Linked DNA regions of Schizosaccharomyces pombe. The gene in region 3 interacts genetically with the main gene of each other region. Each region holds a gene or a part of one and is shown on either strand. Other genes may lie near its edges.

Region 1 (4,353 bases), 1.1 Mb from region 3:
AGTCAATTTGATACTTTTTATTTTTAATATAACATGGAAGTTCTGCTTTTATACCATTTTTCTCTATATTTCACGTTCAAATTACCGTTGGATATTGACCTTTCTACTGCATGAACGGGTTTGCAAGCTCAATGTATCTCACACTAACCTAGCACACCAATTTAAACAGCCTAATGGATGAAGGAATAGAGAAAAACATATTTGTCAACTTGGAATCTCAGATTGACGGTGTGTGTCCCAAATTCTATGTTAACGTTGATGATATTGATATCATTCATGAACCTCCTGAGTTTTATCAACGCTTGAAAAAATTAATCAAAAAAGCTCAAAAAAGAATATTTCTATCAACGCTATACATTGGAAAAGAAGAGCGAGAATTGATCAATTGTCTATCAAATGCGCTAAGCAACAATCCCTCTTTGCATGTTCACATTCTGGCAGATCAATTGCGGTGTACTAGGGAAAGCCCTGGTTGTTGCTCTGCATCTCTATTAATGCAATTGAAAAAGAAGTTTCCTGATAGATGCGAAATCAAGCTTTACCATACACCGAATTTGCGTGGACTAAGAAAGCAATTGGTTCCACACAGATTTAATGAGGGATGGGGATTGCAGCATATGAAAATATATGGTGCAGATGATAACCTCATTATCAGCGGGTAAAGGCAAATGATTATTTACTATACTAACGAATAGAGCCAATCTTTCGAGAGATTACTTTACAAATCGAAAAGACCGGTATTATTTGTTTAGTGATAAGGGTTTAGCGGACTTTTTCTTTAAAACGCATTTTTTGTTTTCACAGCTTTCTTTTGAGTGTATCCCTCATTTATCCGATTCCTCAATTCAACTATCTTCTACGTCCCCGGTTATTCCTTTTACTTTGAAATGGAACAATTCATGTCCAAATCCTTTAACAAATCCTCAAGAGTTTCGGGTAGCAGCTTCTGCTAAAATTCAACAACTTCTTCAGGGGAATCGAGAGAAATTCTTGTCTCGCAACCCTTCTAAACCGTTATCATCAGTATATGGCTCTGAATTAATTAATCAAGCAGGTGATGACAACAATAAGCCATTTCATAAATATGAAGAATCTGCTATCGTATACCCACTTTTTCAATGTGTACCTATCCTTACTTCTGACGTACATTCTACTGAAGAAAAGGTCTTGTCTATAATCGGGACCTTGCTATCGCGCAAGGAGGTTAATTGGACCTTAACGGCTGGCTATTTTAATGTTTATCCAGCACTTAGAAAACAGTTGTTGAAATCTGAAGGTATAGGGGAAGTAATCGTGGCTTCTCAACAGGCTAATGGATTTTATCGATCTCCTGGACCATCGAAATTAATTCCACCAGCGTATCAGTATATTGCTGAACAATTTCTTAAAGATTCAAGAAAGAAGAAAAGAAATATTGATGTCTTACAATGGCAAAATAAGGGGAATACATATCATGCTAAAGGTAAACACTACAGTCTGTCGTTTTCCATTATAAATATTTTTTGGAGCACGGCACTTAAGTCATATATCTTTGAAAAATTCACTAACACTATTTTAGGATTTTGGTTGAGTACACAACATCACAAGCATCCTTTTTTAACGACGATTGGGTCTTCCAATTATACGAGTAGGTCTCAACAGTTGGACCTTGAATCCACCTTAGTTGTAATGACACAGAATGAAAAATTAAAGAGAAAATTTTCTACTGAAATTGAACTTATTAAACAGCACACAAAGCCTATGAATACCTGTCAGTTAGAAAAGGTTCCTATGTATGTGAAGGCTTTGACTTCTCTCATGAAGAAAAAATTATAATATGAATTTAATAAAATTTATAAATAAATTATCAAGAATTAGATTTTTCGGCGTTATTAAGCATGTAGTATAGCACAATACTGTATCAATTATATTACATCGACAACGGCGTACCTAATTCTTGCCAACGCCGATCTCACTGAGCAACGCGATTCGAGCGTTGACGAAATCTTCATAGTAGATTTAATGCAATTGCAATCGCCATTTGGCGATGGAATAAGTTGTGAATGTCTCAATATACGTGTTTTAGGAATTCCTAATGAAACCAAACATCAATGGATATTTGTTCCTCGTGATCTCATAAAAATTGTACGCTAACCTTAATGAAATCAAATATAACTAATTCAATAGAAAATTTATAGTTTATTGCAAATATGCAAAGCTGAAAATTGTTCAGCTGTTGCTTGTCGAGGCTGCAACTTATGTATTCTTGCTGTGCAGGGAAATATTGAAATATCCGAGGAACCGCAGAAATTATTTCAAGAAGAAAACGTGAAAGTTTACATATACGATTCAGCTATTTCTCTTTCTTCTGTAAGAGCATCTTTTCCTATTTCAGAATTGGGCATTCGAATGGACATAATTAAAGCGCGAGCTGAACCTCGGGAAGATGAAATACGGGCTTCATTTTCTTCACTAGTAAACAAGGAAATTAAGCGTACAGTCGAAGAACTTTTGTTGTCAAAGAGATCAACAAATCGTTTATCACTACTTGCGTTTATGCGTAATCAGCAACTCAACTATGAAGCCTACGAAACTAAATTGTTAGAAGATGCTTCGACAATTGAGAAATCACTAGAGAAGGAAGTGAAAACCATATATGATAGCAATATCGCATCACCAAAGGAGTCGAGTGATGCCATTGATGCTGACCATGCCATGATCGACGAAAGTCGGTCTACTCAACGTCGAAAATCGAAGCCAAAAAAGCATGTTGCTTTTACTGATGAATATCAAGTTGCCTTTTCGGACAAGCCCGGCAAGTATTTTAACCAGCCAATGCAGTATTCCAAACAGTTCAAACTTGACAACCCAGACTATGAAGCGTCTTCGGATTCGTTAAACGATATAGAAAATCTATCTACTTTAACTTTCAGATCTGATGAAGAACTTGAATTCGATTTTGACACAAACAACATAAATAATAACAAATCGGGCGATTCACTTGAAATGTCAACCACGATTCCGAGCGACGAGGAAAATGAAGATTTTACTAGCAAAGTGGATGCTATGGAAATTCACTCAGGAAGTTTACCATTAAATATTGATTCTTCTCCTATATTCACAAATCATTCTCCTTCGTCAAGTCTTAGCTCAGAATCCTCCTTTGAAGCCTCACCCTCTTCGTTTGTCGATCGGAAAAATAGATGGATCCAAATGTTGAAAAAGGCAGACGAACATAGTCGAAGTATCCAAGCCCGAAGTATGGGCTATGTATTAAGTGATGATCTTGACAATTCAAAAGCTTTTAGACCTTATAAACAGTCGTTTTTGGCTCAAGGTTGGAAGAGTTTAAATTGAATAGCGTCTATGTGTTTTATCTTTACAATTTAGGACTATTTCTTGCGCTCCTTTTTTTCTCACAAAGAATGCTTGATGATTTTGTTTCGTTGATAATAATTTTGCTATTATTTTATACTATTTTTAAATAATTATAGTTGGGGTTAATAATTGATTTGCTTTTGATTTGTATGATCGACAGCCGATTATAAACATGCTCGACAGTATTCGATCGAACTACCTGCATAAACAAGGTAGTATTCAGTACTAAAGGTTAGACGCCAAACTAGTGAATTTACAATACCTAAGTAATTGATGCAGTGTTGCCCATCAACACCCTAAGAACAGACGACTGAAATGATACTTCGTGAAACGATTCTCAAAAGTTACCTATACAAATTTACAGCTTTTGTTATTTAACATCAATATTGATTAAACTTAAATTAATAATTGTGTTTTAATGTACCAATTACAAATTCCTAGTGAGTAAATAATACCAAAAGCATTGATTACTTTGTATAACAAACGAGGCTTTCGATAAAATGGGATTCCCTAAATAAAATAAATCTAAGAAGCAGAAGAATTGTTGTGAACATAAAAATATTTTATTTAAACATTGGAGGGATAAAGCATGACACGGAGAGAGGCACCAAAGGTCTTGGGAGGAAGATTATGGGTGAAACGAGCACGAACAACACCAGAATTTCCATGAGGACGACTAACAGTTCTAAAACGTAATTAGTAAAGGTTTTGAATGTATTCGTTTAGCCAACAAAAAACGACCGTGAAAATATAGCATTAACGTTTCTTCATATTCTCCAAAGAAACGCAAGAATTTAATTACAAAAATAAACTTACCCCCAAATGACACGAATCTTGGATCCACGAACGGGCTTGTTGCTTTTGTAGACGAAGCAAATACGCTTGCCTAGGTAAAATTGGGCTTCTTCCTTAGAATCACATCCCTCAATCTTTACCAAAGAAGTTCCTGGGTGGATAACATGTTTGCTTCTTTGAAAAGAGAGATGTTTAGCTTTA
Region 2 (6,105 bases), on a different chromosome or scaffold from region 3:
AAGCAATTCAACATCACCTAGTCCGGTATCCGAAAAGTTTTGAAGATGGCTATTAATTGCTGAACGAAAGGCACGCCATGTCTTCGTTGCCAAGGACTGTTCATGGAAATGCTTGTCATCATCTCTAACTGCCTCTTCTATTTCAAACTTGTCTGCTTTAACGCCAGATAAAAAGCTCTCAGGTGATGGAATCCGGTACCTTTCCTCCTTTTTGAGATCATCAAGGGTATTTTCTCCAGCCTGCTCCCAGAGCCTCGACAAAGCAGCATTTCCCATAGCAAATCTTAATTTCACTGGGGTGTTTGTAAGCTTTTTTAAGCCTTCGACAGCTTCATCAATAGCCGCTTTATCTACTAGGGGTTTTTCAAGGGAAGGGCAGCCAAGCCCTTTCCATAATTTCCAATTACCCTCAATATGTATAATTTCTTTAATGGTTCTTTGCACAGAACCACACCGGGCAGTATGTAAGAAACTATATGCTTCTTTGGATAATTCATTTAACTTTGAGGTCTACATATTAGCAATCAATAAAATCAGTTTTTTTCGAGTCTAAAAAAGAACATACATCTTCGTCAGACAAAATAACAATGGGAATTACCGCCTTATTTGTCCATTTTTCAAGAGTTCTCCTTTCAATTCGTTCTTTAGAATGGTCAAGCAAAAAGTCGAAAATAATAATTAATTGTAAAATAGCCTGTAACCGGAAATCTTCATCTGAAAGTTGGTATTCAAAAAGCGACCGAGAATATATATATTTAGAAGGAAATCCTTTATCCAAAGTTATATATTTTTCAGAAAGTAATGAGCTAGAGTTTGGATCAATTGTAGGGTTTGACTTCCCATTGAAGAACGTATTTTGTAATATAGATTCGAATGCCTGTATTGCAGAACCAGCTGCATCTATAAACTTAGGTAAGGTATCACTTGCTAGTAATTTAGGAGGGTTGGAGCACATACACTGCAAATCCCAATAAGCAGTAAATAAGGTATTAAGTTTTTTGTGATATGAGAGGTCTGTTCGGTCCGAAATGGGTGTGGATGGTGGTGACAGTTCTACCTTCCCAAAAGAATGAACAGTATTATAATCTCCACGTAAATTGGCTCCACTCCGTTCTTCAGGGGGGAAAGCCTTACTTAGCAGAATATCGATCCGCCCACAAAAAGATGAATTTTCTTGCCGAGAAAGACGCCGGAGTAATTCATTTGATATCCGAAGCAAAACGGGTCCTCTTCCACGATTGCTGACAATACCTTTCATCAAGCTAGGTCTGGTTTCAAAATATTCATATAATTTGGCGCATTCGTTGACGGTGTGAATGTCCATCAGCTCTTCCAAGATTAGAAAAGGCAACAGGTGATCACAGAAGCTTTCGTTAATTTCGTTCCCTATTACTAAGAGATCCAAAATCGCAAATAAACATTTTAATCGCTCCTCCAATCCAATCTCACTTTTGCGCTACACGAAAATAACAATTAGTAACTTAAGGAAAACTTCATTATGGAAAAAGCACATACTGCTGTTTCATAACAGCAAAATCTTATTGCCGTTTCAAACTCAGTTGAGTTATGAAAACTCTCAACAATCGAAGGCCATAATTCTTTGATGAATAATTCATATTCAGAACAAAGTGGACTCTTATCCAGTTCTTTTGCCTTTTCTAATGGATATGTATTATAAAAAGCTTCAATTAAACCCTTTTGCACCTCCATTACTTTAAAAGTCTGCGAATATACAATCCGCGCGCAGAAACGTGAGTTTATCTAGCATTGACAATGTCATTTAGAAATAAGGATTTATTCGTTATTGCTTTGTGTGGTTCATTGCTTCTCGCTATAACAGGAGCAGCATGAAGGAATATGTAATTTTGCCCTTAACCAAACAACAAAGTATTTTCTTAAATTTGCAGTGAGTCTGAAAATGAGACTTTATTTAAGAAATTGATAGGATATGAGTGTCAATGAAGATCTATCCCATTTAGGGGTTTTTTCGGTTGACCAAGAGAATTTGGAACGCGATGTTACGAATACTGCTAGTGAGTACATTGCACATGAAAGTCGAGAGATCGAAAAGAAGAGACTTCAAAAAGTCAGGAAAGAAATATCTTCTGTAAAAGAAAAAATACGTCGCCTTGATGAGCGTATAGACAGTCGACTTACAAAAATAAGTGTCAAGGAGAACTTCCGCAAACAATTATCTAAATTCCGAGACACTCTTCAAAGTTTACAATCAGACGAAAATGATATTAAGAGAAGACTTAATAACGAAGATTCGGCAAATGCCCCTGGTATAGGTGCATTTTCGACTGAAGAATTGGAAAGACAAGAGCTCATCCGTACTGGTAAGGTTACACCGTTTCGAAATCTCTCTGGACTACAAAAAGAAGTTGATTTTGATGATGAATCTAGCATTCGTGAGGCTGTTATAAAGTCTGAAGGAACATACTATGAAACGGCACCTCATTTGAGTTCGGAGCCGTCAAATATTGATCATGGGATTATTCCAAGAGACGAAAAAGATGAGTACGTAACTGTGGATGCTGTTACGGAGAAAGTAGTAACTGCCGCTATAGATGATGGAGATGATTTGGTATATCGACAAAGGCTTAATGCTTGGTGTGCGAATCGTAAGGAATTACGAGATCAGGCCTCAGCATCTGAAAACAATAAAGATAGAGGAGAGTTTGAAGGTAAAGATGAGTGGTTACTACCTCATCCTTCCAAAAAAGGACAGACTTTTGAGGGTGGATTTACCATCCCAGGTGATATTCGCCCACATCTTTTCCGTTATCAAGTCACTTGCGTACAATGGTTATGGGAACTCTATTGTCAAGAGGCCGGAGGAATCATTGGTGATGAAATGGGACTAGGAAAAACTATTCAAATAGTATCTTTCCTTTCGTCTTTGCATCACTCTGGCAAATTTCAAAAGCCTGCACTTATCGTTTGTCCAGCGACTTTAATGAAGCAGTGGGTTAATGAGTTTCATACATGGTGGGCTCCATTACGTGTTGTTGTTCTTCATGCTACTGGCAGCGGACAGCGTGCTTCACGCGAAAAGAGACAGTATGAATCTGACGCTTCTGAAAGTGAAGCGGAAGAAAGCAAAACCTCCATAAAATTAAGAGGTGCTTCAAGTTCATTCCACAGATACGCTAAGAACTTAGTTGAAAGTGTCTTCACTAGAGGCCACATTTTAATTACAACATATGCTGGTTTAAGGATATATGGTGATTTGATTTTACCACGGGAATGGGGTTATTGTGTTTTGGATGAAGGGCACAAAATACGAAACCCAGATTCTGAAATATCTATTTCGTGTAAGCAAATCCGTACTGTGAATAGGATTATCCTCTCAGGGACTCCGATCCAGAACAACCTTACCGAGCTTTGGAATTTATTTGATTTTGTATTTCCTGGAAGATTGGGTACATTACCGGTATTTCAAAATCAATTTGCCTTACCTATTAATATTGGTGGTTATGCCAATGCTTCAAATGTTCAAGTGCAAACCGCTTATAAATGCGCCTGCATGCTTCGAGATTTAATTTCTCCTTATTTACTTAGAAGAATGAAGCTTGACGTTGCTGCAGATTTACCTAAGAAGTCCGAACAAGTATTGTTCTGTAAGCTGACTCCTTTACAAAGGAAAGCTTACCAAGATTTTTTGCAAGGCTCTGATATGCAAAAGATCTTGAACGGAAAGCGTCAAATGCTTTATGGAATTGATATACTACGAAAAATTTGTAATCATCCAGATCTTGTAACTCGAGAGTACTTGTTACATAAAGAAGATTACAACTATGGTGATCCTGAAAAGTCTGGCAAACTGAAGGTTATTAGAGCATTACTAACTTTGTGGAAAAAACAAGGACATAGAACTCTTCTATTTTCTCAGACTCGCCAAATGCTCGACATACTGGAAATAGGATTAAAGGATTTGCCGGATGTTCATTACTGTCGCATGGATGGTAGCACATCTATTGCTTTAAGACAAGATTTGGTGGACAACTTTAATAAAAATGAGTATTTTGATGTGTTTCTTCTAACTACTCGTGTTGGTGGATTAGGAGTCAATTTGACTGGTGCTGACAGGGTAATTCTTTTTGATCCTGATTGGAATCCCTCAACGGATGCTCAAGCACGTGAACGTGCTTGGAGACTGGGCCAAAAGAAAGATGTAGTAGTTTATCGGTTGATGACTGCTGGAACTATTGAAGAAAAAATTTATCATCGTCAAATCTTTAAGCAGTTTCTGACTAACAAAATTTTGAAAGATCCAAAACAAAGAAGGTTTTTTAAAATGACGGACTTGCACGATTTGTTTACGTTAGGCGATAACAAGACTGAGGGCACTGAGACAGGCAGCATGTTTTTGGGATCTGAACGAGTACTTCGAAAGGATAATTCCTCAAGAAATGGCAATGAAGCTGAAGATATTCCAGCTCGTGACCGAAAAAAGCACAAAATTCACGACAAAGGTAAAAAAGTTAACAGCTCCAAAGTGTTTGAAAAAATGGGGATTGCATCGATGGAAAAGTATAAACCACCGCAAGAGTCAAATGTTACTAAGACAAACTCTGATTCGACTTTAGGGGATGATTCCGTCCTTGATGATATTTTTGCTAGTGCTGGTATTCAGAGTACTTTAAAGCACGACGATATCATGGAAGCCTCCCAGACTGAAAGCATATTGGTTGAAAAAGAAGCGACGCGTGTTGCTAATGAAGCTCTGCGTGCAGTTTCATCTTTTCGGCGACCTCCTCGTCAACTTATACCTCCGCAGCAATCTACTAATGTTCCTGGTACTTCTAAACCATCAGGTCCGATTACTTCAAGCACTCTTCTTGCCCGACTAAAACAGAGACGATGAATTAATTAGAAGAAGTTCGCCTTAGAGTAAGCTGTATCCATTAAAATTTCGGACCCAATCTTGTACCCATTTATTTATTTATTATTATTTCCCTTTATTTTGTACATTAAGTTTTTCATGATTTAAGCTTTATTTATGGATTTATTGATAGACACGCGATCATTTCATTTTTTGAATGGGAATTATCCTTATTACTAGGTGGGTTTACTTTGCTTGAAAAGTATTGGAAATGTCAATTCCATGTTGAGGATAGGGCTGTCGGAATTACTTTGATCATTTTTCCCTTTTGTTAAAGTACTTGGTTAAAGTGTGTTAATGTTATTGTAAGCAAGCACTTGACAAATTCGCTTTACCTGAGACCTAAAATTAGCGTTAATAACTTTCTAGTTGGCTGAGAAAAGTATGAACACTCAAAGCGGCTTAGTTAGTGGTATGTGCAACCCGTGCAACCCTTTTTGTAGCTATAAATTACTACGTTCTTTTGTCAACGTTATTAGAATGCTAGAGTCATGTTTGTTGACAGTGTCAGAAAAGACCTTTTAATTAGAAAACTAGTGGTTCAAAAATTTTGATGTCTTGGTGCTTATTGGCGAACTTATTACTAGTACTTTTTCATTTTATATAAATTAATATTTGTATATAAGCAATGCAACCGCATCTAACCATTTTTACACACATATTTGGTTTTACCAAAAACTTGACTCGTTAATTAATTTTGGGAGCTGCAACCAACGCTGTACTTTCGTAAGATTACTTGAAATTCGAAGTCTATGTAGTTCGCTGAAACAAAATAAGACTCTGCTTCAAACAATGTTCTCTGTTGGTAAAAAAATCTCTTTTATTTTGCCTATTAAGGGCGTATTGCAAAAATTAAAGGATAATGCTCAAAAAACCGTTCTCTTGGATGCTACTTGGTACTTGCCAACAGACACTAAAAACGGAAAGAAGGAGTATTTAGAAAGTCGTCTTCCAGGTGCTCAATACTTTGATATAGATGAGGCTAAAGATCACAAAAATCCCCTTCCTCATATGCTTCCTCCAGCTGACGAATTCGCCTCTTACGTTGGAAAATTAGGAATTGACAGAAACGTAAGTAGTAGTTTAGAAATTCCAATTACTTAGTCTTCAATTTTACTAATATTTTAGACCAATGTTATCATTTATGACCGAAAAGGGTTTTTTTCGTCTCCTAGGGTTTTCTGGACCTTTAAAGTCTTTGGTCATGAGCATGTTTT
Region 3 (5,323 bases):
TACATATATATATATACCTTTGAATTCCCATTCACAACCTCATTTTCCAAGTATGTTCTCTGACTCTTACTCAAGGTGAAATCTTTGTGGATCGTAGACAAAATGTAGCTTAAGAAAATCTGGTGATTTCTGCAGTCTTATTTATGTGAATAATTTTGTTCGCCTACTCCGGTTTATTCAAACCAAAAAAACTCTGTCAAAAAAAGGCATCATTTTTTGCTTGCTTTAAATCATTTGCATTATCGTTGAATATACCAATAGAAAAACCTAAGCGTTGTTAAATGAATAAAACGACACTTCTGTATGAAAGCTTCGTTGCTTCCTATATTACCATGTTTCAAGGAGATTCGTTGATATACATGGATCAAATTTAGGAATTGCCGGATAAAGCTATGTTCATTTATCCTATTGAGAATGCAAAGGTCCTGATAGTAAATTTTTTTTTTCACCTGAAATTACCGTTTTTCAATTACCTGAACGAATCATGCTTTAATGCTCTCCATTAAGCATCAGTGCTGGATATTAGTTTTGGGAGTACTTCCGCAAAAACGGATCGAAATCCATGTTTCCGTCTGTGTGCTAGTCGTCAATCGCCCTGATACCGATCAACTACTCCAATAGTTAGTTGCTTTTCCCAGCGTCCAGCAAATTGAGCTAGCTAGCTGTCAACTTAATTAGAAGCAATTGTGACGACCATTTATCATTAAACAGAATTAAAATGCACGATATTGCAATTCTTTGTCTCTAGATGCAAAACCTTCAAAAGGAACGGAATTAAGTTAGTTCCGTTTTTCGTTAACCAGCGTCGTTGGTGACCGAAGTGCGAAAAGTTGCATAAACTTTGTTTTTTTTCTATTACAACATAATTTATTTCCAATTGTTTTAAAAACGTGTCTTTCAATGATTCAATTCTTCCCTACAAAATTTTTTTCTGGGAAGACGAATGTCAATTGGATAGGATTCCCACGTTCAAGTAATCGGAAGAAGTTTGACAATGAGCAACATGCATTCAACGATTATTGATTAAAATTCGGTGTTTGTAAAACGATCATAAGTAAGGAGAATTAAAACTGTGTCTATTTTTGGGAATTGAGAGATTGCTCCGTAGGCTTGGTAGACTAATGTTATTAACCTTCATTGTGTCTAGTCATTTTGGGATGCAGACTGTTCTGGATTATAATGCTAACCATTTGTCAATATCAAGAGACTTTCCCTAAATTTACATCCATGTACGATTTCGGTATGAAATTAAAAATTTCTGCAGTCACGTTCAGTTAGTCGCGCCTTTCATTACTCATTTTTTTCACTTGAAAATAAAATATCGCTAATTTTGAAAGCGCGCATGGAGTTTCACTCTTCCGACTTTCGCATCTAGTTTACCATAATTTTTAAGAAAACTGGTTTTACTGAGTTCATGAACGTTGTATTAAAAAGGCTTCAATTATCTCTATCTACTAAATGCAATGTAGAAGGTGGCAGGATTGCGCACGGACTTGTTTTACGATGCTTACGAGATATCGCTTGACTTTTTGGTTCACGGTGGACTCTTTACAACAGCTGATTTTCCATTCCACTAAACGAGCTGATAGTTAAACTGTCCGCATCTTCAAGGATTTGCAAGGGTCAACCTACTATCCAACCTCTTTCTTGGTTTCCGTGACTGCTCTTTGCTGGTAGCAAATCGATACTGACTATGCTTTGGCCAAGCCGAGGTGCACTTGGTTGATAAAGGAAGAGGATTTTTTTCCACCAATTGCGGATATATTTTAACTTTTGGACCGAAACCAAGTGGAAATTCCCTCGATACTTCGCTTTTTATGGTTAAGCATGTTAAAACATTACTTCCTTACATTTTATTGAGTATTTAGCGCAAATGAATCACTGCGCTGGCGGATCTTACGTGGTGAGAGAGCGGCACTTTTGTTCATCTATCGCATGAAAATGCTGGCTGCATTACGCAAGGTCATGTGCTGGATTTTCTACCAGTCCTCAATTATCTGGCGGTTTTTAAATCGCAAAAGTATATAAACAACCTCGACTGTCATCGATTTCAACATCATTTGTACACGATCTTTTCTAACTGAAAGCGGTTGTTGAGTTTTCATTCTTTTGCTCATACAATTCGTTTACAATTGGAAGTTAATTACTACTTCCTTTTGTATTAGATTTTTTCTTAACTTTTACTTTTTTGGTTTTTTTCTTTTTTAGAGTTTTTTTATTCTTCTTGATTTTTGAAAACGCTTGTTTTATTTGTGTTTTCTATAGTCCTTTGTGTTCTTTTTTTTTGAATTGAAATTAATACCCGCCTTTCTTTTTCTTTATTCTCGTTAATTTTTTTGAAGTCACGATGTCACTTCTTGTTAAGGCTGCTTTGATTTTGAAATGTGCTAGTATGCTTCAGGGTGTTTCTGCACAGTATTTCTGCCGTGATACTACTTTCGACAAGAGAACTTTGGAGTCGGTTCGTTTCGAATCGGAATGTATTCCCACTGTTAACAAAAGGGACTTGGATCCTAATGCTGAAGGTGTCTACAAGCGGTCTTTTGACGGAAATATGAACCCTTCCGATTTCCAATTATTACCCCTTGCCCCTCGTGATGGCGCCATTGTCAACGTTGACAAGGAATCATTCAGCAAGCGTTCAACCACGAACATGTTTGATTTTAACTTTTCTTGCTATTTCGGTTCTGATGGCCATAGCAATGACACGTTATGTCAGCAATACATTGATGTAGCTGACTCCGTGGGTGAACAATTCTCACGTGTGCTTAACCTTAACACCCCAATTGTTATCGATGTTACCGTTGTTGGTGCTTGTACTGGCGAGTCTGTTTGTTCCCAGGGTCAAGGTATGGTAGCAGGCAGTATTGGCGGTGAAGCTTCTCCTTCTCGTGAAATTCCCATGGCTTGCAGTGATGGTTTAACTCGTTATTATCCTCAGGCTGTAGTTAAGCAACTTGGTCTTTCTGATCCTCCTTCATATGCTGACAGCGATATTACGATTGCCCTGAACGCTGATGCTAATTTCTACTTTGGCTCTGGTGATATGGGCTACGAAGCAGTAGATTTGGCTTATGTCCTTTTCCATGAAATAACTCATGGTCTTGGTTTCTCAACTGGATGGGGTGTATTCGGATATGAGAATCTCACTGATCCTTATATGAACGCTCTTTTACCCACTGTCTCATATGTTATTGGTGAAATGAATGGAGAAACTATGTATGCTTTCCATGATGTTATTGAGAATGCTTTTGACAGGAATATTTTTTATTCTATCGACCCTAATGAGGGATTACCTACCATTGCTGAATTTTTCCATAGTGTCGGTGCTGCATTTACCCTTAAGGCTGACTCCATTGCCGGTGTTGTTGCCCAGATGAATGATACAACTACTCAGTTCCATATCCAAGCTAACGAAGCTTACCGCAAGGCCATTAATCCCGGTAGATTGGTTATCTACCCTGATGCAGGCATTGACACCTATTCACCTTTTATTTACTTGGATTCTTCCTATGTTCCATTTTCATCTGGATCATCTTTGTCTCATGTAGCTCTTCATCATTATGATTGTGAGCCCAACTTTTTGATGCGTGCTTTCTATACTGCTGGCGCTACTCTTGAATCCTACATCGAGTGTGCTTATGGAAGTGATCAAGCCGATGTCGCTTACGGTCCCATCGGTCCTGCTATGCGTACTGTCTTCAGACGTATGGGCTACTCGGTCAACAACCTTACTGGTGTTACCAACGAATATAGCGAGAGCTTGGCTAAGAGATCGTTGTCTGAAAAACCCAAGACTGCTCCAACTGGTAAACAGCTTGCTCTTCATCCTTTGAGAAGAGAGACATCTATCTTGGATTCAACCAACACCACTTCTACTAATGCCACCAACACTACTACAACTACCTCATCAAGTTCAACTGCTTCATCATCTGCTTCTGCGTCTAGTTCAACATCCGCCACCTCTGGAGCAGCTGGTGATTTGTTCAGTGTTTCCAAGAATTTGATGATGACTTTGACTGCAGGATTGTGCTTGATTACTGCAAGTTTGTTTTAACGCGGTTGATTTTCAAATTGAATCTTCCTGATGTATATTACTATATAATAAAGCTTTAAATTAGCTGTTAGTGAGATTTTTATGATTTGGCCATCAAAGTCAATTAATTTTTATTGCTAGGAGATGATACTATTAATGACGATATGAAGCCTTGTTTAATACTTTGTTTTCTTATGCAAACGCGAAACACTAGTTTTATTTTGAAGATTGCTACTAAATTATAATTTTGGTTGATAACTGTATCAATATACCTTGCACATATTTCTATAGAATTTCGATCTGCCCTTTTGTTTGTTAAGTTATAAAAACATTTTATCTTTTTACAAGATACTTTACCCGAATTGTGTGATTATAATTCCGTTGCTTTTTAACCGACGTGATGATGTATATTTTATATATATGCCTCTATAATAGTGTTTGGGTCATTTGTCTCACTCAAATTTTCGTGTGTATTTTACAAACACTTAATATTTTTTTTTTTTAACTCTTTAATGAAGGGAATGCTTTCAGTTTTACGCGAACGAAATTTAATCGATTGATGTTTTTGTTTTAATCTTAGTTAAGTCGCTGTAAAAAAGTAGTGTGATAGAAGGTACTTTGTATGACGATAGAGCGGTAGATGCGATTAATATTGTGAGAGTGAGTTTTGTTACAATCGGATGACATGTGTAAAAAAATCCTATATACTAAGATTGATATGGTGATGAATTTAAAAATATGCATTTTTGTGAGTAAATAAATTATATTAAATGTGGGAAAGACATGTAAACACGGTAATGGAATATATAAATATATATATATATATATAATGTTTGCTAGCACATTTATTCACTATAATTGATGGCTGTATAAGAGACAACGGTTTTAACGTTTAAAAATCTTTCGTTATATAGAAATTGTCTCCGTCTTAAGCACTAACGATCGTTACGAGCGGTCCCGCGCTTTTGTCGTTGATCTGATTGACACAATGGGCGGCATTTGTGCTTCGATTATCGTCGTCATATGCTTGAATGGTGTGAACGCCAGATGTTAAAATGCAATAACCATCAGCAACCTTATCCGAAAGTAGTCATAGCCGAAAATGGGCTTTTCCAGCAGAATTAAAGAGGGAAGCGAATAAATCGGCTAGTAAATACTGTGGGTATAGTGATTGAGAAGACGACGTGGACTTTGTTCAATTCTTATCCTTCAGTAAAACACACACTCGAACAGCGAGTTCTCTCTGCTTCCATATAACGATTCGTTATTAGTAGCATCGAGTTTCTG
Region 4 (4,585 bases), 450 kb from region 3:
TAGAAAGATTACACGATCCTAATTTAGTGCCTTACTTACATGGCTTGTTTCCAGTCGATGAAGCTCGTAACGTTCGTTTCTCTATCAATTACTTTACTTCTATTGGTTTGGGTGCATTAACTGAAGAAATGAGAGAGTACCTCCTTACCATGCCCAAAAGCGAGCCAAAGGAGCAAGATAGCGAAGGTTATAGCTCTGGATCCGAGACAGGATCAACATATAGTTCCTCTTATTCTTCCACATACTCACGTGGGAGATCATATTCTCGGTCAACTCGGTCATACTCGAAAAGCCGTTCTTATTCTCGCTCCCGCAGTGTAACCCCTATCAATAATATAAATCATAAAAAATACATTAGAAAAGATAGAGAATTATCTCCTCGTGGGAGAGAACGGTCATCAAACCGTAACTCTTATTCTGATCTTTCCAGGTCATCATCATTGTCAAGGGGTCGCTCACGCTCTTACACGCCGGAGGGAAGATTAATTGAATCTGAAGATAAGGGTTATCGTTCTCGTTCTTCTTCACCTGCTTCACGTAAGTATCGCTCGCGCCAACGTTATAGACGTTCATACGCTGGTTCTACAAGCAGAGGCAGGTCCTTTTCTCGCTCACCCTCCTACAGAAGAAGGTTGAGTATGTCATGTTCAGTTTCATACTCTAGATCTCCGTCTCCGCTGCACGCCCTATTTCTCGCTCTCCTGCTAGGAATAAAAGATCTTATGACTCTTTATCATACAACCGTCAATATTCACCAAAGGTATCTAGAAAAAGGTCTAATGAATCTAGGTCACCTTCACCTTACACTCTCCGGAAGCAAAAAACATACCACTTGAATAAGAGGAACGAAGACTTTGTTGTGAAGATGGATAAAAAAGGTTCTGAATCACCTGTCATATTGGCACCATGGTTGCGTGAGGTTGATGATGGCGAACTTTATAAAGACAGGAACAGTGAATCAGATAGTGTTCGTAAACAACCAAGGGCTGATTAAGAGTGATTAATGGTTCATCTTCAAAATGCAAATTGTTAAATGTGATGTCTTACTCTTGTCGTTTTTAAAAACCTAACGTTTGGAATTTTATCCATTGAACTTTTGCTTAACTCAAAATAGTTTTGTACCATAATGAATTATAATAAAAGTTGAGACACGCTATGAGTTTGTATAATTTCCTACTAAACTTTATTCGATTTCAATTCTGTAAGCATACGCTATTTGCATTATAGGTCTGAGACCATGATTGTTTGATGTGATATAATTCATAAGCCGTTGAAACAGTACTTAGTAGCTTGTTCATCAATATTGCAGATTGCAAAATAATTAGAGTTGGATGATAAATGATAATGAATTAAACAAGAATGTAAATTAGATCGTCGTAGCAACGGCCTCTTCATGTTAACAATTTCTAGTAAATGGCAATGCTCTATACGTTTAAATTGAAAATAACACCCCCATATCTCAGCCTTTTCTCATAATCTCCATAAAATAAAATAAAAATAAATATGAAAAAATCTCTAGATGTGTTTATGAAGTACCGCTAAGCAATAAATTAAAGGGAACGCTGTGCAAACACGTATTACATTGAAGGCTGTATATATATGTTTAGATTGAAAATATTAGTCATTACTATAGTAATTAAATTATTAAGACTGATTACTGTCACAAAAAGAGAACTATACATTCTTAATAGAACTCAACGTTTGTTTTGTGCCTCGTTATACTATATAATCTTAAAAAGTAAATATAAATACCTATATATTATTAAAAAATATATCTACCTGAATATTACTAAAGCCCAGATTCGGTGGCCACGTATTTAGCTTAGCAGCTTTCTAAAATTTATATATTTGCATTTCACTACAAACTTCTTCTATTTTTGTTGTTTTATTTTATTTATTTAAGGGGACACACGTTTCACAATTTTGAGCAAACAGCAAGCGCTAATATTGATTCTACTAGATATCAGAATTTTTGAAGCACTTGTTTGGGAACTGTTTTAGTGACTATTAATTGTTTAAACTATTATAGTGGTTCTATCTTGGAATTTAAATAGGGTCTCAATTAAAGAAGAATTGACGACGTTTCTATCTTGAATTTGATTTTTCAAGTGTCTTGGTCATTAAATTATCTTTGCCATACATCCAATGGAACAAAAAAATTTAAATATCAATCAGGCTTCAGGTTCAAAAATCAATACCGAATTAGCTGTTCCAATTTTTCAAAGCCGTCGGAGACATCGCCCCAGACAAGGACTGAAGCGTAAAAAAGGATTCAAACGAGATGATGACTCTGGAGGCAGCAGTGAATCATCAAATGAAGATATGCGGGACAATATTCCAATTGTTTCGGGAAGAAAAAAAACCGTTCGCTTAAATCGATTGCAAAGAGAATCCGAGCAATTCGAGAACTCTGCTTTGAAAGATATAAATGTTGAATATCAGTCAAATCTAAGCGCTACTGGTGAGTCCGTTAATACTACAACTGTTTCGGCTATCAACGAAGATACGAGAGAGGTCATTTTAGGTCGACCTTCTCCGAAGTTAGCTAATCAGTCTACTCTTCCTACTGAGTTATTCCAGTCACAAAACGATTACTCTAGATTTTTGCCTAAAAGGAAAGATTTTGAGAAAAAAAGCCAAGTAGGGCCAGTTTTATCTTCCAATGCTTCTACTGTCCGTATGAATACAATTATTGACTACCAACCCGATGTTTGTAAAGATTATAAGCTCACTGGGTATTGCGGTTATGGAGATACTTGTAAATTTTTGCATATGCGAGAGGATTACAAAGCTGGATGGCAACTTGATAGAGAATGGGATTCAGTCCAGGAAAAATACAAAAAAGGAGCTAAATTGGAAGAAGGGATGGTAAAAAATGAGAAAAAAGAGGATATACCTTTCGTCTGTTTAATTTGTAAAAAGGATTACCGAAGTCCTATTGCTACCACTTGTGGTCACCATTTTTGTGAACAGTGTGCCATAACTAGATATCGTAAAACACCGACATGCATCCAGTGTGGTGCAGATACTAAAGGTTTGTTTTCTGTTGACAAAAATTTTGATCGGCTTTTGAAAAATAGAAAATCAAAGAATGACGAGGCGGTCAAGCAAAAGGTTGGTGGTTTCGAAAGTAATAATTCCGCAACTACAGAAGTTTCGGAACGTAAAGATCGTGAAGCTTCATTTCAAGGGTTTGCAGATACGTTGGCAAAACCAAATACATCGGCTCAACAAAAAATGCCTAGTTTAGGTGATAATTCAAATACAATTATTTCAAAGTATTTTATAAGAGAGATTACTGAATCCAATATAGTCCATTTCAAACGCCTCGTTCGTGTCGTTTTAGAGGCTTCTTATAGTGACAAATTCTACCGCCTAGTTCTCAAAAATCCAGATTACGCCCGCATTGCAACATTCGAAGACAAATTCGTTGGAGCCATTAGCAGCCTTGTTGCAGAAGATAATTCACTTTACGTAACAGTCTTATGTGTTCTTGCCCCTTACAGATGTCTGGGAATTGGAAGCTTATTAATTGATCACGTCAAAAAAACTGCCATAAACAATAATATAGACAGAATTTCTCTTCATGTACAAACAACAAACGAATCAGTTATTAAATGGTATACTGCTCATGGATTTAAGATTGTTAAGCAAATCAATGATTTTTACCGAAGGCTAGAAAACAAATCAGCTTTTTATATGGTGTGCCCGTTAAGTGCTCATAATAATATAATTTCAAATCACTAAAATTCACTTATATGTTTATATTACAAAAGCGATGTCAAAGACAGTTTGTAAAATTGGTTTAAGCTTTTAATATTTGATTAGTCCACCTTTTGGCTTAAAATAAACAACAGAAATCCTCAAGCAATGAAAAAAGTATTGTCAAATATAGCGTAAAGATAAGTGTCACTAGATGTGAAACAAAAATATCTAGTTCAGTGTCATTAGTTAATGATAAAAAACTCTCAGTCCATTGATGAACTAGAAACATCCTGTTTAGTTGAATTCGAGCTTATTTCGTTAGACATGCTCCCACTTGGAAGATCCTCCGAGTCAGTATGACCTTTGAAGCTCGTTAAAGACTCCGAACTTTGGTTTTTCGCCGCTTTTAAATTTTCATTCATTTTTTTTGAAGATACTAGCGGTGCAACTTCCTGAAAACTTTTCAACAGTTTACGACGAGCACCCAGTGCCATGATGCCTCGATTTTGCAAATCGAGATCACTTAACGAAACCAAAGCATCCCAATCCGTATCCTTTAAATTATTGGTATACTTGTGTAGGCGCAAACTTCTGAGCCAGCTCGGAATATCTTGCGGAAGCTCATTACCAACATGCTTGTCTGTGTTTTTAGAATGTGAAATCGATTTTCTGGTTTTATTAGATCCCCGTGAGCTTCTACGGTATGTTTGGTTCTTTGAATTATTGGGTGGAGTCTCTATTTTTTCAACTGAACTAAACGGTTGATAAGTGTAAGGAAGGGTGCAAAGGTGCATTCCTACGGGTGTCGAGATATTAGAATTAGGATCTATAGGATTCGTTAAAATCGTATTGGTAGCATGCATCTGTTGAGGTAAACCAG

The links.
Region 1: mutations in SPOM_SPBPB7E8.01 (region 3) and toc1 together harm fitness more than expected from each alone (negative genetic interaction), as found in Schizosaccharomyces pombe (one large-scale study listed by BioGRID).
Region 2: mutations in SPOM_SPBPB7E8.01 (region 3) and rhp26 together harm fitness more than expected from each alone (negative genetic interaction), as found in Schizosaccharomyces pombe (one large-scale study listed by BioGRID).
Region 4: mutations in SPOM_SPBPB7E8.01 (region 3) and cwf24 together harm fitness more than expected from each alone (negative genetic interaction), as found in Schizosaccharomyces pombe (one large-scale study listed by BioGRID).

Annotation. Positions count from the first base shown.
Region 1 is NC_003423.3:2,401,580-2,405,932, forward strand, and holds toc1 (Tor complex Tor2-interacting protein 1), read left to right. Parts: upstream 1-1,938; 5' UTR 1,939-2,001; coding exon 2,002-2,124; exon of another isoform or gene 2,125-2,166; coding exon 2,167-3,336; 3' UTR 3,337-3,753; downstream 3,754-4,353. Other genes in the region: pgs1 (CDP-diacylglycerol--glycerol-3-phosphate 3-phosphatidyltransferase), read left to right, coding at 174-658, 696-1,462, 1,559-1,815; rpl35A02 (60S ribosomal protein eL33), read right to left, coding at 3,925-4,042, 4,174-4,353. UniProt on the Schizosaccharomyces pombe protein: Component of TORC1, which regulates multiple cellular processes to control cell growth in response to environmental signals. Tor2 is essential for growth. Nutrient limitation and environmental stress signals cause inactivation of TORC1.
Region 2 is NC_003421.2:1,178,401-1,184,505, reverse strand, and holds rhp26 (SNF2 family helicase Rhp26 ), read left to right. Parts: upstream 1-1,867; 5' UTR 1,868-1,948; coding exon 1,949-4,870; 3' UTR 4,871-5,574; downstream 5,575-6,105. Other genes in the region: THO complex subunit Tho1, read right to left, coding at 1-510, 566-1,456, 1,516-1,710; thiosulfate sulfurtransferase Tum1, read left to right, coding at 5,681-5,959, 6,017-6,105. UniProt on the Schizosaccharomyces pombe protein: Involved in transcription-coupled repair (TCR).
Region 3 is NC_003423.3:3,492,170-3,497,492, forward strand, and holds SPOM_SPBPB7E8.01 (uncharacterized protein), read left to right. Parts: upstream 1-2,052; 5' UTR 2,053-2,347; coding exon 2,348-4,057; 3' UTR 4,058-4,608; downstream 4,609-5,323.
Region 4 is NC_003423.3:3,039,657-3,044,241, forward strand, and holds cwf24 (zf-C3HC4 domain-containing and GCN5-like protein cwf24), read left to right. Parts: upstream 1-1,804; 5' UTR 1,805-2,145; coding exon 2,146-3,747; 3' UTR 3,748-3,868; downstream 3,869-4,585. Other genes in the region: vts1 (RNA hairpin-binding protein), read right to left, coding at 3,969-4,585. UniProt on the Schizosaccharomyces pombe protein: Involved in mRNA splicing.